2 linked regions of the Cricetulus griseus genome follow. The protein of the gene in region 1 interacts with the protein of each later gene in a pairwise test. Links are inferred from orthologs where the notes say so. Each region holds a gene or a part of one and is shown on either strand. Other genes may lie near its edges.

Region 1 (6,753 bases):
GAAGACATCTTCACAAACCCCACACTCCAGAACCTAGTATTGGAAACAGAAACATGTGTCTATAAACACTATTAAAACAATATTCTAGTATTTTAGATTTAAAAAGAATTGACCTAGTTAATATACTTACTCAATCTTATTACTTAATTCCTCCATGGGGGGGGACTAAATTATGAAACCTTAAATCACATTTTTATTCATTTCCATTTGACAGACCTTGTCAAAGTGAAACCTCCTTGAAATACTCTTATGTTGCAAATTAATATAAGAAACATAATCTAATCTCCTGAAAACTGAACATGTAGCAATTTATAATTCTACTGAAACCCCCATCAACAATCATTCACTTTGCTTTTCCTTTTTTAAAAAAAGTTTTGAGATTTATTTTTGTGTATGGATGTTTGCCTGAATATATGTCTGCGCACCTTGTTGGTATAGTGCCCACAGAAGTCAGAAGAGAGTATAAGATTCCCTGGAGCTAGAGTAACAGATGGTTGTGAGCCACCATGTGGGTACTGAAAAATCAAACCAGATCCTCTGAAACAGCAGTCAGTATTCTCAACAGATTAGTCATCTCTCTAAACCCTGGTTTATTTCCTTGTTAGATGACATTTCACTGAGCAGCTCTGAATGGACCTCAGTCCAGGCTGGCCTCAAATATACAGTGATCCTCCTGCCTCTGCCTCCCAAATGCTAGATTATGGGATGTATCATTATGTCCAGTTAAAACACCATTGACTTTAAAAAAAAAAAAAAAATCTAGGGCTGGAGAGATGGCTCAGTGGTTAAGAGCACTGACTGTTCTTCCAGAGGTCCTGAGTTCAATTCCCAGCACCCACATGGTGGCTCACAACCATCCATTATGAGATCCGGTGCCCTCTTATACTGTGCAGATAGACATGGAAGCAGAATGTTGTATACATAATAAATAAATAAAATCTTTAAAAAAAAATCTAAAATGTGTATTGGGATGACACTCAATTTTCTAAACTATAAAAAAATTTGTAAGAATGTCTCCAAGGAATATTCAATTATCTTCTAAACTTCACAAAATAATGTAAGGGCAAAAGCCAGATTAGCTGAAAATTAAATTTCAATTCCTATTCTTTATTAATAAGTAACTCTGGCTTGGAAAATATTTGACTATCTAGTTGTAATCACAGGTATATATACCAAATACTATATGTACCAAAAGGCACTCAAAAAAAAAAAAAGCTGTGAGAACTGACTCACTCTGAATCTCAGGTCCATGGGTTAATTATTTTATAAATAATCATAAACTGTAACTATCATAGCATACCATTTTCAGTGCCTTTACAACTAACTATTGTTTGTGTTGTTTTCAGTTTTAATTACTTTTTAAAAATATTCACAATGAATTATTCCATTGTCTCCCGATCAAGCCACACTACAGAATCCTATGGTCCAAGTGTGTCGCTGGATAGGACTCTTGCTTTATACTAATTAATACTGAGAAAACTGCTAAACATCTACCTTCTGGCTTCCTTTTTAAGGTTTTTATTTTCATAAATCAAAAAATTCCCAAGTACCTAGCTCTTGTTCTACCCATCCCTCACTCCAGCTGCAACAACTACCTTATCCTCTGGGTTTCCACGTACTCTGAATACGTATCTGCTTGTCAACTCAAACACTTCAATACTTTCATTGGCTAGCATGTCTCTCCTTCTTAGAACAAGAACACAGAACAGTACACTCCAAATAGCAAGTACCTATGTGCTTATGTAAATAAAATCCAACAAAATAAGAATTAAAAACAAAAACAATTCAGCCCACCATCAAACACACACAAGACAAAATTAAAAATAGAAAAATTAAGAGTGGAAATCTCATCAGACACATTACAATTTTAAACTTGATTCTCTAATACATTTACACCTAGAAATTGAGATGCAGTGGTTAAAAGTACTGGCTGCTCTTCTAGAGGTCGTGAGTTCAATTCCCAGTACTCACATGGTGGCTCTCAACCACCTGTAACTGTAGTCCCATGGGATCTGATGCCCTCTTCTGGTGTGCAGATGTACATGCAGACAAAACACATGTATACATAGCAAATAAATAAATCTTTAAAAAAATAAGAGAAATTGAGATACAAGCATCTTTTACTGCAATTAAACTGGTAATTCATAGTAGCCTTGAATATTGGTATAGTTAAAAAAAAGTTAAACGTAGTATAGTTCACAGAAAAAAAAGGAGACAAATTAAGTATCATAAATTATATTAAGCTATATAAAGAAAACTTTATATTAAGAATTCGCTGCCGGGCGTTGGTGGCACACGCCTTTAATCCCAGTACTCAGGAGGCAGAGGCAGGTGGATCTCTGTGAGTTCGAGGCCAGCCTGGTCTCCAGAGCGAGTGCCAGGATAGGCTCCAAAGCTACTCAGAGAAACCCTGTCTAGAAAAACCAAAAAAAAAAAAAAAAAAAAAAAAGAATTCGCTCTAACTCATTAAAGTGCAAAGAAAAACTACACCAAGATACTTTTTCAAAAAGTTATTAATGCTTTGTATTAATAAAATGCAGCAGTTGGAGGAAATGTAGGAAAACAACTTCACTGATATGAAAAGTTTATTGAGTAACAACAGCATCCATGGAAGCAATTTAGCAGTTTAAGGAATTTATTCTAAATTACCTCACACATGAGGCAAAATCCAACCGTTCTCATCCTTGTTGATATTGTTGTCTCTACTGTTGGGGATCCCAGATTTTTTGCATATGTCAGGCAAATGTTCTACTACTAAGTCACATCCCCAGCCCACATGTAACAAGATCAATGTGTTATTCTTTAACGCATCATTTATATCATTAAAGAATTAAAAACAAAGTAAATGTACATATAGATACTAAACTGAAAGATAAATTATAGTGCACTCATATGCCATAACTGCAGGCCATTAAAGGTTAAAGTTTCTGCCGGGCGTTGGTGGTGCATGCCTTTAATCCCAGCACTCCGGAGGCAGAGGCAGGTGGATCTCTTTGAGTTCGAGGCCAGCTTGGTCTACAAGGGCTAGTTCCAGGATAGGCTCCAAAGCTACACAGAGAAACCCTGTCTCGAAAAACCAAAAAAAAAAAAAAAAGATTAAAGTTTCTTATGTATATACACAGAATATGAGTAAAGTGGAAAGAAAGTGTTAAGGAGGATATAAGACACGTTACTACTTCCAATTACAAAAAAAAACCCTTTAGATTCACAGAACATTCTGCAGGAATTCTCTATTTGGCAAAAGCACAATTCAAAATAATAATCTCAAACATAAAATATGAGTAATAATGAGGGCTCTTCTACGTTTCAGATCTTTGTACCTTCAATGTAATTTGAATTCAACTCAATATAAAAAAGTTAACTATATCAACAACCAATTAAAAAGGACTAATAATAATTAGCATAAATTCCTCAAAAAAGACCTTTGTTATAAAAAAGAAAAGGTATCTACCGTTTAACGAGTAGTGACCAACTGTACTTGGTTCACTGCTATCAATCCAAGTGTACTTTACCATCAGTTCTGGGAATTTAAAAACTATACTGTTGTCAACACACTCAGAATGAGAATACAAATCTCTTGGTTGCTGAAGATCTTCAAAGTTACTGTAAACCACTCGCTCCTTTCAGATCTATGTTACAGTGGGTGGGGGAAATGAGCTTGATGTCCTCGATCTCTAGTAAAAGCATTTGATAAATATATGGTAGAATCTTACAAGCAGAAGGTACACCATACTTCTAGTGTTAAACCCCGCCTATGCTGCAGTTGGAGACTTTTCACACCGCTCTGTTCAGAGGCAAAGGGCGGCTGAAAAATGTACATATATGATTATAACAGCAATGCAATGTTGAAAAGCAGACTTTTACAAGCAGTAAACGCTGGGCCCTCACTAAACCTAGGGCTCATTCCATGTAAAATGCTAATTAACATCTCCCTTTTAAGTGGATACTGGCGAGCTGAAACATTTACCACAGTACTTGTCTACCGTAAAGGCTGTTTAATACATCTACGCCAACTAATGCCTGTGGAGGCTTCACTAGAAACAGAAGAGCAGGGGAACACCAATCCAGGTCAACTCCACAGGCCTACGCGGTGCTTTTCACAAACAGCCCGATCCAGGCAACTTTAGACCAGCAGGCCAAGGACTGCGGCGGGGCAAGAAGGGCTTGAAACGCCCACCCGGTTCCAGAGGCCGCGCATCCCGCCCGGCCAAGCCTGGGCCGCAGAGTCGCGACCAGGTCTCCAGGACGAACCGAAGGGAGGCCGCAGGTGAAGAACAGAGCACGCAAGTTCCCTCACCTTCACCACAGCCGTCCCCCGGCTGCCCTGCCGCCCACTGTCTACTCCGGCTCCGGGCTTGTTTACAGCTAGGGCAGCCATCCTGGAAGAAGCCGCGCCACAGCAGCAGCAGAGCCTTTAATTGAGAGGAGGGGTTGAGCGACCTACCCAGAAGCCTCAGCGCACGCCGCAGGCACGCATGCGCAGTACGGGCGGGGCGCCGCTCCGCCTCCTCCGGCCTTTTCCCTTCCGTCAGTCATTGGCTGTACGATCTGCGCGTGGACACTTTGTTTTTCATGACGGTGCCTGCGAGCAACTGAGGGAAGGGAGAAAACAAGAAGAATGGATGGAGCATAAATAAAATTTTAGAGTGAAAGTGTCGATCCTGTAATGATTTTTCCTCCAGTACTGAAACGAGCCAGAGTGAAGAAATCAGCTAATCCCAGCGCCGACACCTCTAATTTGAATAAAATAAACTACAAATCCCAGCATGCCACTCGAGTATCCTCCCCCCGCCCCACGCGCCCCATCGCGGAGTGTAAGCCTTTGGGAGGCCGTGTATTGTCAGCTGAAAGTGCCTCCTTGAAGTCAGTCTGTTTAATTCTGAGCGAAGGAATGGCCTTCGTGAAAAGATTTTCACTGGGGCCGTACCAAATTTAATGCAAAGAGAAGTTAAGTTAGTACGAGCCGAAAGAAGTTGGGCGTGTGTTTGAGGCCGCGTCTTCCGGGACTTGTGCTTTGCAGTTTCCTTCCCGACCCAGGGTGAAACTCCTGAGCCTGAGACCAGAAGTGCATGTCAAGATGGAAGTGAATCCCCCGAAACAGGAGCACCTGCTGGCGCTAAAAGGTAAACTGTTACGTGCCTAAGTCTCTTTACTCTTCCCCCGCCCCCCTTCCCCTCACTATTTGAAAGATTTCCAACGTGAGCCTTATCCCTAAACACGGCAGGGCTCGCCCTCTTGCTAAATACTGAGAGATGGCTTCTAGAATGAAATGCAATCCTAAATTCCTCTGTGATCTGTGCTACCGCAGCCACCAGATTTTATCCACAGAAGCTCATGCCTTGATCCTGCTGGGGAGATCTCTGTGAACCAGAATAAATTTCAGTTGGCTATTAAAGCAAGTTATTTATTTTGTTTGTTTGGTTGGTTGGTTGGTTTGTGGGGTTTTTTTGTTTTTTGTTTTTTTGTTTGTTTTTTTTTTTTTTTTTTAGTTTTTCGAGACATTGATTCTCTGTGTAGCTTTGGAGCCTATCCTGGCACTCGCTCTGTAGACCAGGCTGGTCTCGAACTCACAGAGATCCACCTGCCTCTGCCTCCCTAGTGCTGGGATTAAAGGTGTGCGCCATCACCCGGTTTAGAGCAATTTTTTATTACATTTTTATCCGTTCATGTAGCAGGCACAAAGTTACCAGGCTTTCGCTTAGCTGTAGGTAATATCACGTGCTAATGCCAAGGATTTATAAAATAAATGGTAATACACCCAATACTTCTTAGATTTGTTGAATATATTACACATTACACTTTAATTTTCTGTACACAGCAGTTTTGAATAACTTTTAATGGTTTAATTTAACCAGAAGAAAGCTGGCAGGGCAGATTTTCCTTAACTTTGCTTATCAAAACCTTTTATTTAAAATATTTTCAGCTTTATTTTATGTTTTTTGGTGTTTTGGTTTTTCAAGACCGGGTTTCTCTGTGTAACAGCCCTGGCTTTCCTGGAACTCACTTTGTAGACCAGGCTGGCCTTGAACTCACAGAGATCCACCTGCCTCTGCTTCCTGAGTGCTGGGATTAAAGGCGTGTGCTACCAGTGCTCAGTTATTTTATGTTTTCTACTGCTACAATGCACTTGGTTGCTTTTGGAATATACAGTTATGAGGTTGTGCCTTTCACTAGGAAATGCTTAGAAGACATTTGAGCTAGATTGCATTGCTCTGGCCTTCCTTAAGGCATCCTTTTTGTTATACTACATGTCCTCCCCAACACTTTGTGATCTGTACATCTTACATTCCAGAAGCTCATAATCACCTATCGATAGATGCTGTGAACATGACTGTCTCTGAATGTGGGACTAAGCAAGGTTGCAACACTGGGTAATAAGACAAACAGACCTGTAGGTTTCTACATGATCCAGACTAAAATAGATTATATGTGTATGAAAGGAACTTGGTATATATATATATACACAGACAGGTTTTCTCTGTGGCTTTGGAGGCTGTCTTGGAACTAGCTCTTGTAGACTAGACTGGTCTCAAACTCAGAAATCCGACTGCTTCTGCCTCCTGAGTGCTGGGATTAAAGGCATGAGCCACCACTGCAAGGTCATTGTCTCAGTCTTACATCTAGTGTTTGGACTAGATATTAGTTATCTTTTACGGTCTGGCAGCTTACTACTTACATATCTAGTAAGAGTTCAAGGCAATAATTCAACAAGGCCTGCCTCATATTTCTAAAATGCCCTGTTTGCCTCCTATC
Region 2 (5,898 bases), about 73 Mb from region 1:
TGAACCACCTTAGTCTCCTTCCCAGTGCAGGCCTGTGGTTCCCCATGCTTTTCTGCAAGGTGGGGCTGTGGCTCCTCACACTCTTCTGCAAGGTACGGCTCTGTCACACCAGAGTGTTTTGACAGTCCAAGAAGGGAAGTTCCAGAATTGTGTTCTGGAGCACTCAGAGTTTTAGAAATGTCAGCCAGCAAGGGCTGAAGTTTAGTCATCTCTAGAGCAGAGCCTCCATTAAGAGGGGCACATTTGTCCACTGCCAGCCCCTCTATCTCCTGTTGCAGGAGTTGCTGCAGAAGACTGATGCGCTGTGGTGGGAGAGAGTATCCCAATGTGTCACCTGTCCACAAGGTCTCCCTACATTGTCATCTCCCCACACCTTTCCTCCCAGCTCCCCCTTCCCAGTCTTCTCAGGGTGCAGAAGCCATCAAAGAGCTGTCATTACAGGCCCACCTGCATCTTCAGCTCCTGGTGGTTGGGGGTTTTGCTGGGGTGAGGTCCAGAAGTACTTGCCACAGAGGGTTTCCCAGACCCCTTCTGCAGTGTGATACAACCCTCCTGGTCAAACAACCTTACAGCAATCTGCTCCTGCCACATAGAAGGAAAGGGGGTGGGTGAAGAAGCCAGACTAAGGTGGGAAGACTGTCTGCACCCTCTTGAGGAAAGGGTCAAAGCTCCCTGGTGGCTCTAAATATCAGGTATGATAACGCAGGCCTATAATAGAGCTGACATTAGCTCTCAAGAAGCTGAGGAAGGACAATCAAAAGTTTGAGACCCGGGTTGTTGAGATGTTCATACACACAAGAAATTTCTTCCAAGACTAGCAGAAGACAGAGAGACAGATATTCTAAACATGGGAAGGAAGGACAGATGGAGAGGCAAGAGGCAAGCAGATTCTTTAGACAGTACACCTACCTCAAACCAAAGGCTGCCAGCCCTCCAGGCCAGCGGGACAGCATCACAGACCTCAGTACAGGAAGGCTTTTGACACTTACCCAAGGCATGGCAGGCTCTTCAGGGGAGGAGTGAGGGGAGAGGCCACTCAGCCACTGGGTCTGCATCAGACAGGACAATCACCCATGGGTGAGACATCTGGTCCCCTCACCTGTCTTATCTCCTCCCCGACCCCTGTCCCCACACAGTACCTGCCCTCCTCCCTTCCTCCCTAGTCTTGACCCACACCAGTTGCCTCCTCTGCTCTCTTACTTGCTGAACTCTGGGTAATGATCGGAGGGGCGTGCATTGGGTTTTCGGCCGAATGGTGAGCTGTTTCAAGGATGAATATGAGGTCTAAGGAGAGACATGGGGAGTGAGCAGGGCTCTCTAAGCTCCTGCCCAGCCTAAGAGTTGTCGATACAAGCCGGGGGGCGTTGGTGGCGCACGCCTTTAATGCCAACACTCGGGAGGCAGAGGCAGGCGTATCTCTGTGAGTTTGAGACCAGCCTGGTCTACAAGAGCTAGTTCCAGGATAGGCTCCAAAGCCACAGAGAAATCCTGTCTTGAAACCCCCCCCCCAAAAAAAAAAAAAAAAAAAAAGAGTTGTCGATACAAACCACAGCTAAGAGGCCTGGGGAGGGAACATCTGAGCCTGTCTAAAGGTGATGGGTGGGTGACAAAGGGTGGCACTACATGGCCAGGCATGAGCCTGGAGAAGGCATGGGAGTCACCATTGACCCGTGGCGGAAAGGGGCAGGAAGAGGCCTTTCTGAATTCACCTTCCTATGTCTTGTTCTCCCCACAGCAGCAGCCACTCTTTGTTTTTTTGTTTTGTTTTTGTTTAAGATAGGGTTTCATGTGACCAAGAGGCCAGCTTGGAAATTCCGATCCTCCTGCCTTGACCTCCTAAGGCTGGGATTATACATATGTGCTACCATGTGCAGTGCTTGAAGATTCTTTTAAGAGAGAAATCAAGTATTGTTCTCTATTCTCACTTCCTCCCCTGGGCTTTCCATTCAGCTTAAGAAATAGCCAAGGACTTACACTGGCTAGTTCCTTACCTGCTCTCACCTTTGTCTCTATAAACTCGTCTTGAAGCTTCTTCCTCTTTTCTAGGCTTCAGACTCACTGGCCTATTTTGCTGGCTTAAAACACAAGGTGCACCCTCCCCTCAAGGCCTTTGTACCTGCAGCCCTCTTGGTTAAATGGCTTTGTGTGTGAGCTAAGTTACCAGTCCTAAATACGAATCTGTCCCCTCCATCTTTATTTTTAAAGACAGGGTCTTGCTGCATATCCCAGGTTATCCCGGAATTCACTGTGGAGCAGCCCAAGCTGTCCTCTAACTTGCAATTCTCCTGCCTCCAGAGAGCTGGGCTACAGTCATGTACCACCATGCCTGGCTCTAAGCTACCATTTATGACACCAATTCCCCCTCCAAGATCCTCTCAGTGCCTTAAGTATTTAATTTCAGAGAGGCTGCATTATCTCCTGACATTCTATATATATTTGTGTTTATTTTTATGCTTCCCTCTTCTAGAATATGCATATTCTGAATCTACAACCATGTCTGCATTCAAAGGCCAGTTAGTAAATACTTGAAGGAATTTATTTGTTGTTTTGTTTTTTTTTTTTGTTTTTCAAGACAGGGTTTCTCTGTATAGCTTTGGAGATTGTCCTGGAAATCATTCTGTAGACCAGGCTAGCCTTGGAGATCCTCCTGCCTCTTCTTCTCAAGTCCTGGGATTAAAGTCGGGTGCCACCACTGCCCAGCAGTAATTATTATTTTTGGTCGGTAAGCATTGTATGTGTCTAGGCTTAGCACTGATTTCATGGTGACACACATGCATGCCTGTCTGTCACCTTTCACCCCAGGCCCCAGATGCCTAACAAAGGGAATCAGATCCACTCTGAACAAGGCTTGGTCCCAACTCCAGCAAACCAAGACCTAATAACAACCTGAGTCCCAGGTCTGTCCAACTCTACCCATGACCCTGGATGCATCTGCTGAACACTCTACCCCCATTGGGAGTGGGGGTGAGGGTGGGGGTGGGGGTAGGCGTGGGGAGGTGTCTCATCTCACCCTGGTGTGCATTCTTTCTCCAGTTCCTCTTAATGGTACTCGTTGAGCCAGACCCAGAAGGGCTCTTCCTCTTTCATCTGAATGAGGGACAGCCTCATGTTCTGTGAGAGATAAAGAAGATGGGAGGAGATAGAACATTTGCTCTAGTATTTAGAACATCAAAGGCTACTCATTCAGCATTCTCTGACAGCCTAATAATATCTTAGTAAACACTGATCAAATGCCCCAAGTAGGCCAGAGGTGACCATGGCTCATAAGGGATTGGGATAGAACACAGTGGAAATTTAGTTTTGCAGGAAGTGGCAGGGAGAGGGCAGAAACACAGTTCAACCACGCCAACCTCTGCCCTATGTAGGAGGTCTTGTGCATGGTTGTGTGTTTCTGGGATGTGACTGCTAGGCAAGCACTCTACCACTAAGCTAGATCTCCAACTCTTCTGACCTAGTCTCCCTACCTCCCTGCTTCCTCACTCCGCTGTTGCTCAAGACCTGTTGGCCTTTTCCTTGTCTTGTTCCTGGTGCAGGCAGTTCACTCGCCCTGGCTTTTTTTTCCTTCTCCCATATCCAGACACACTCACCAGGCTGAACTGGGGTCTTCAGGAGCAATCTGGAGGCCTGGTTTGCTGAAGTCCTGTTGGCAGTAAGTACAGTAGCCATCCCTGAGTATCAAGCAAGGGCTGGGCATCTGCTAAGTGCTTTACAAATACCATCTCATTGCATTTTCACAATAGCCTCTAATGGTACAAATGTTATCCTAGAACTCAGATAGGTAGATAAGGGTCAGGAATTTGACTCAAAACCCATTTATTGTCAGTTTATGCCGTAGCCAAAAGAAACAGCATTTCACACATCGATCCCTCTGCTCCTTCATATTAAAGCCTGGCTAGGAAAGCCTGACCTGTTCCAGGGGCTCACCTCACATGTTTTGCATATCCCCTCATGGGTTGAAAAGGTATCTATAGCCTTCCTTACCTGCTATTGTCACACGTCTCTCTTCTTATCTCCTGTAAACTGGGGCGAGTGGTGGGATGAGAAGATCCTGAAGGTAGACTCTAATCCAGACCAAGACATGAAAGCAGAGTGAGAAATAGGCCCCAAACTAGACACAAACCCCAACCCACCTCTCCCAACAGAACCCGTTCTCGATTTTTTTTTTTTCCCTTCGAGACAGGGTTTCTCTGTGTAGCTTTGGAGCCTATCCTGGCACTTGCTCTGGAGACCAGGCTGGCCTCGAACTCACAGAGATCCTCCTGCCTCTGCCTACCGAGTGATGGGATTAAATTCTTGCACAGCACTGCTCAGAACCCATTTTCATCTAGGAGGTACTGTTCTAGGGCAGTACCTTTGTTCCAGGAAGAAGTTTCTAGAAAGACTAAGTGTCAGCTCCTCAAGGGTACTCACTAGAGTCTCTATCCTCTGTGGGAACAAAGTGTGGCCTCGGGATCCTGATCCCTCCAGTCTTGAGAAGCAGGAAGCCCTGGCTGGATCCAGTTGATGGATGGGAGTTCTGGGGGCCAGGTATGCGGAAGACCTAGCACCCTGAGATGCCAACAGAGGCTATCAGCAAGAGCTCAGAATTCCCCAAGTCCACCCCATCCTGACCTCACATCTTTCTCATTACCTTGCCCTTCTGGGTGGTGCCTCCCTTGCTCCCTCGAACTAGTACTCTCTGAGCCAGACTGGACTGGCGCCCCAGGGGACAGCTCTTCACCCCCTCACCTGACAGGATGGTGGCCAGGGCTGCAGGGTCAGCAACAAATTCTATAGCCCCTGAAGCCTCTGAAAGGAAAGGGATAGGATTAGAACGATAGGAATAGCAGAGGCTGAGGGGCAGAGGACTCTAGCAATAGTGAACAAAAGAAACATATCCAAGCCAGGCTTAGTGTACACACCTGTAATCTCAGATTTTAGTATACCAAGGCAGGAGAGCCAGGTGTTCAAGGCCAGCCTCCCCAGCATACAGGGCTAAAAGTCAGCCTTGAGAGATGGGGGAGAGTTGGGGGAACCTAGCTCATGTAAGAATTTCATGTAGGGGACTGGAGAGATGGCTCAGAGGTTAATAGCACCGACTGCTCTTCCGGAGGTCCTGAGTTCAATTCCCAGCAACCACATGGTGGCTCACAACCATCTGTTATGAGATCTGGTGCCCTCTGCTGGTGTGCAGATGTACATGGAAGCAGAATGTTGTATACATAAAAATTAAATAAAATCTTAAAAAAAGAAAAAGAATTTCATGTAAGCTATTACTCTTTGTCATACAGAAGATATCACTGAGGGCTGGAGACATGGCTTAGTGGTTACGAGTATGGGCAGCTCTTCCGGGAGGGTTCTATTTCTGGCACCCACATAGCAGTTCACAGCTGGCTATAACTTCAGCTCTAGGGTATCCAATGCTCTTTTCTGATCCCCATGGACACTGCATTCACACGGACTCACATAAAACAAAAATAAATCCTCTTTGTTTTGTTTTGTTTTTTCAAGACAGGGTTTGTCTGTGTAGCTTTGGAGCCTATCCTGGTACTTGCTTTGGAGACCGGGCTGGCCTTGAACTCACAGAGATCTGCCTGCCTCTGCCTCCCGAGTGCTCGGACTAAAGGCATGCACCACCAACGCCCAGCCAAAAATAAATCTTTTAAAAACATATCTGTTATTGAAAAGGAGGTTGTTCAAGCTATAGTATGGACCAATTAAAAAGAATCAGCACAACAATGAGGGAATGTCTGTGACTAGGTTGCTGAAAAGGCTTCCACACGGTCTCACTGTGGAGCTGTGGCTGGCCTGGAACTCACTTTGTAGACCAGGATGACCTGGAATTCACAGAGATCCATCTGTCTCTGCATCCGAGTGCTGGGATAAGGTATGCACCACCATGACAAGAAAGAGAAGACA

What was found.
Region 2: the proteins of Trim23 (region 1) and Troap interact in binary tests that used the Homo sapiens proteins (3 or more experiments, as listed by UniProt). The two-hybrid records come from large-scale screens. The link is inferred for Cricetulus griseus from reciprocal best matches to the Homo sapiens genes TRIM23 and TROAP.

What each region holds. Positions count from the first base shown.
Region 1 is NC_048595.1:322,445,443-322,452,195, reverse strand, and holds the start of Trim23 (E3 ubiquitin-protein ligase TRIM23), read right to left. Parts: upstream 4,454-6,753; 5' UTR 4,379-4,453; coding exon 4,298-4,378; intron 3,004-4,297; exon of another isoform or gene 2,683-3,003; coding exon of another isoform or gene 2,650-2,682; intron 2,023-2,649; exon of another isoform or gene 2,008-2,022; coding exon of another isoform or gene 1,972-2,007; intron 34-1,971; coding exon 1-33. Other genes in the region: Trappc13 (trafficking protein particle complex subunit 13), read left to right, coding at 5,078-5,123.
Region 2 is NC_048595.1:395,513,607-395,519,504, reverse strand, and holds part of Troap (tastin), read right to left. Parts: intron 4,789-5,898; coding exon 4,631-4,788; intron 4,549-4,630; coding exon 4,411-4,548; intron 4,062-4,410; coding exon 3,982-4,061; intron 3,641-3,981; coding exon 3,465-3,640; intron 3,112-3,464; coding exon 3,011-3,111; intron 1,285-3,010; coding exon 1,201-1,284; intron 1,050-1,200; coding exon 990-1,049; intron 583-989; coding exon 448-582; intron 303-447; coding exon 1-302. UniProt on the Homo sapiens protein: Could be involved with bystin and trophinin in a cell adhesion molecule complex that mediates an initial attachment of the blastocyst to uterine epithelial cells at the time of the embryo implantation.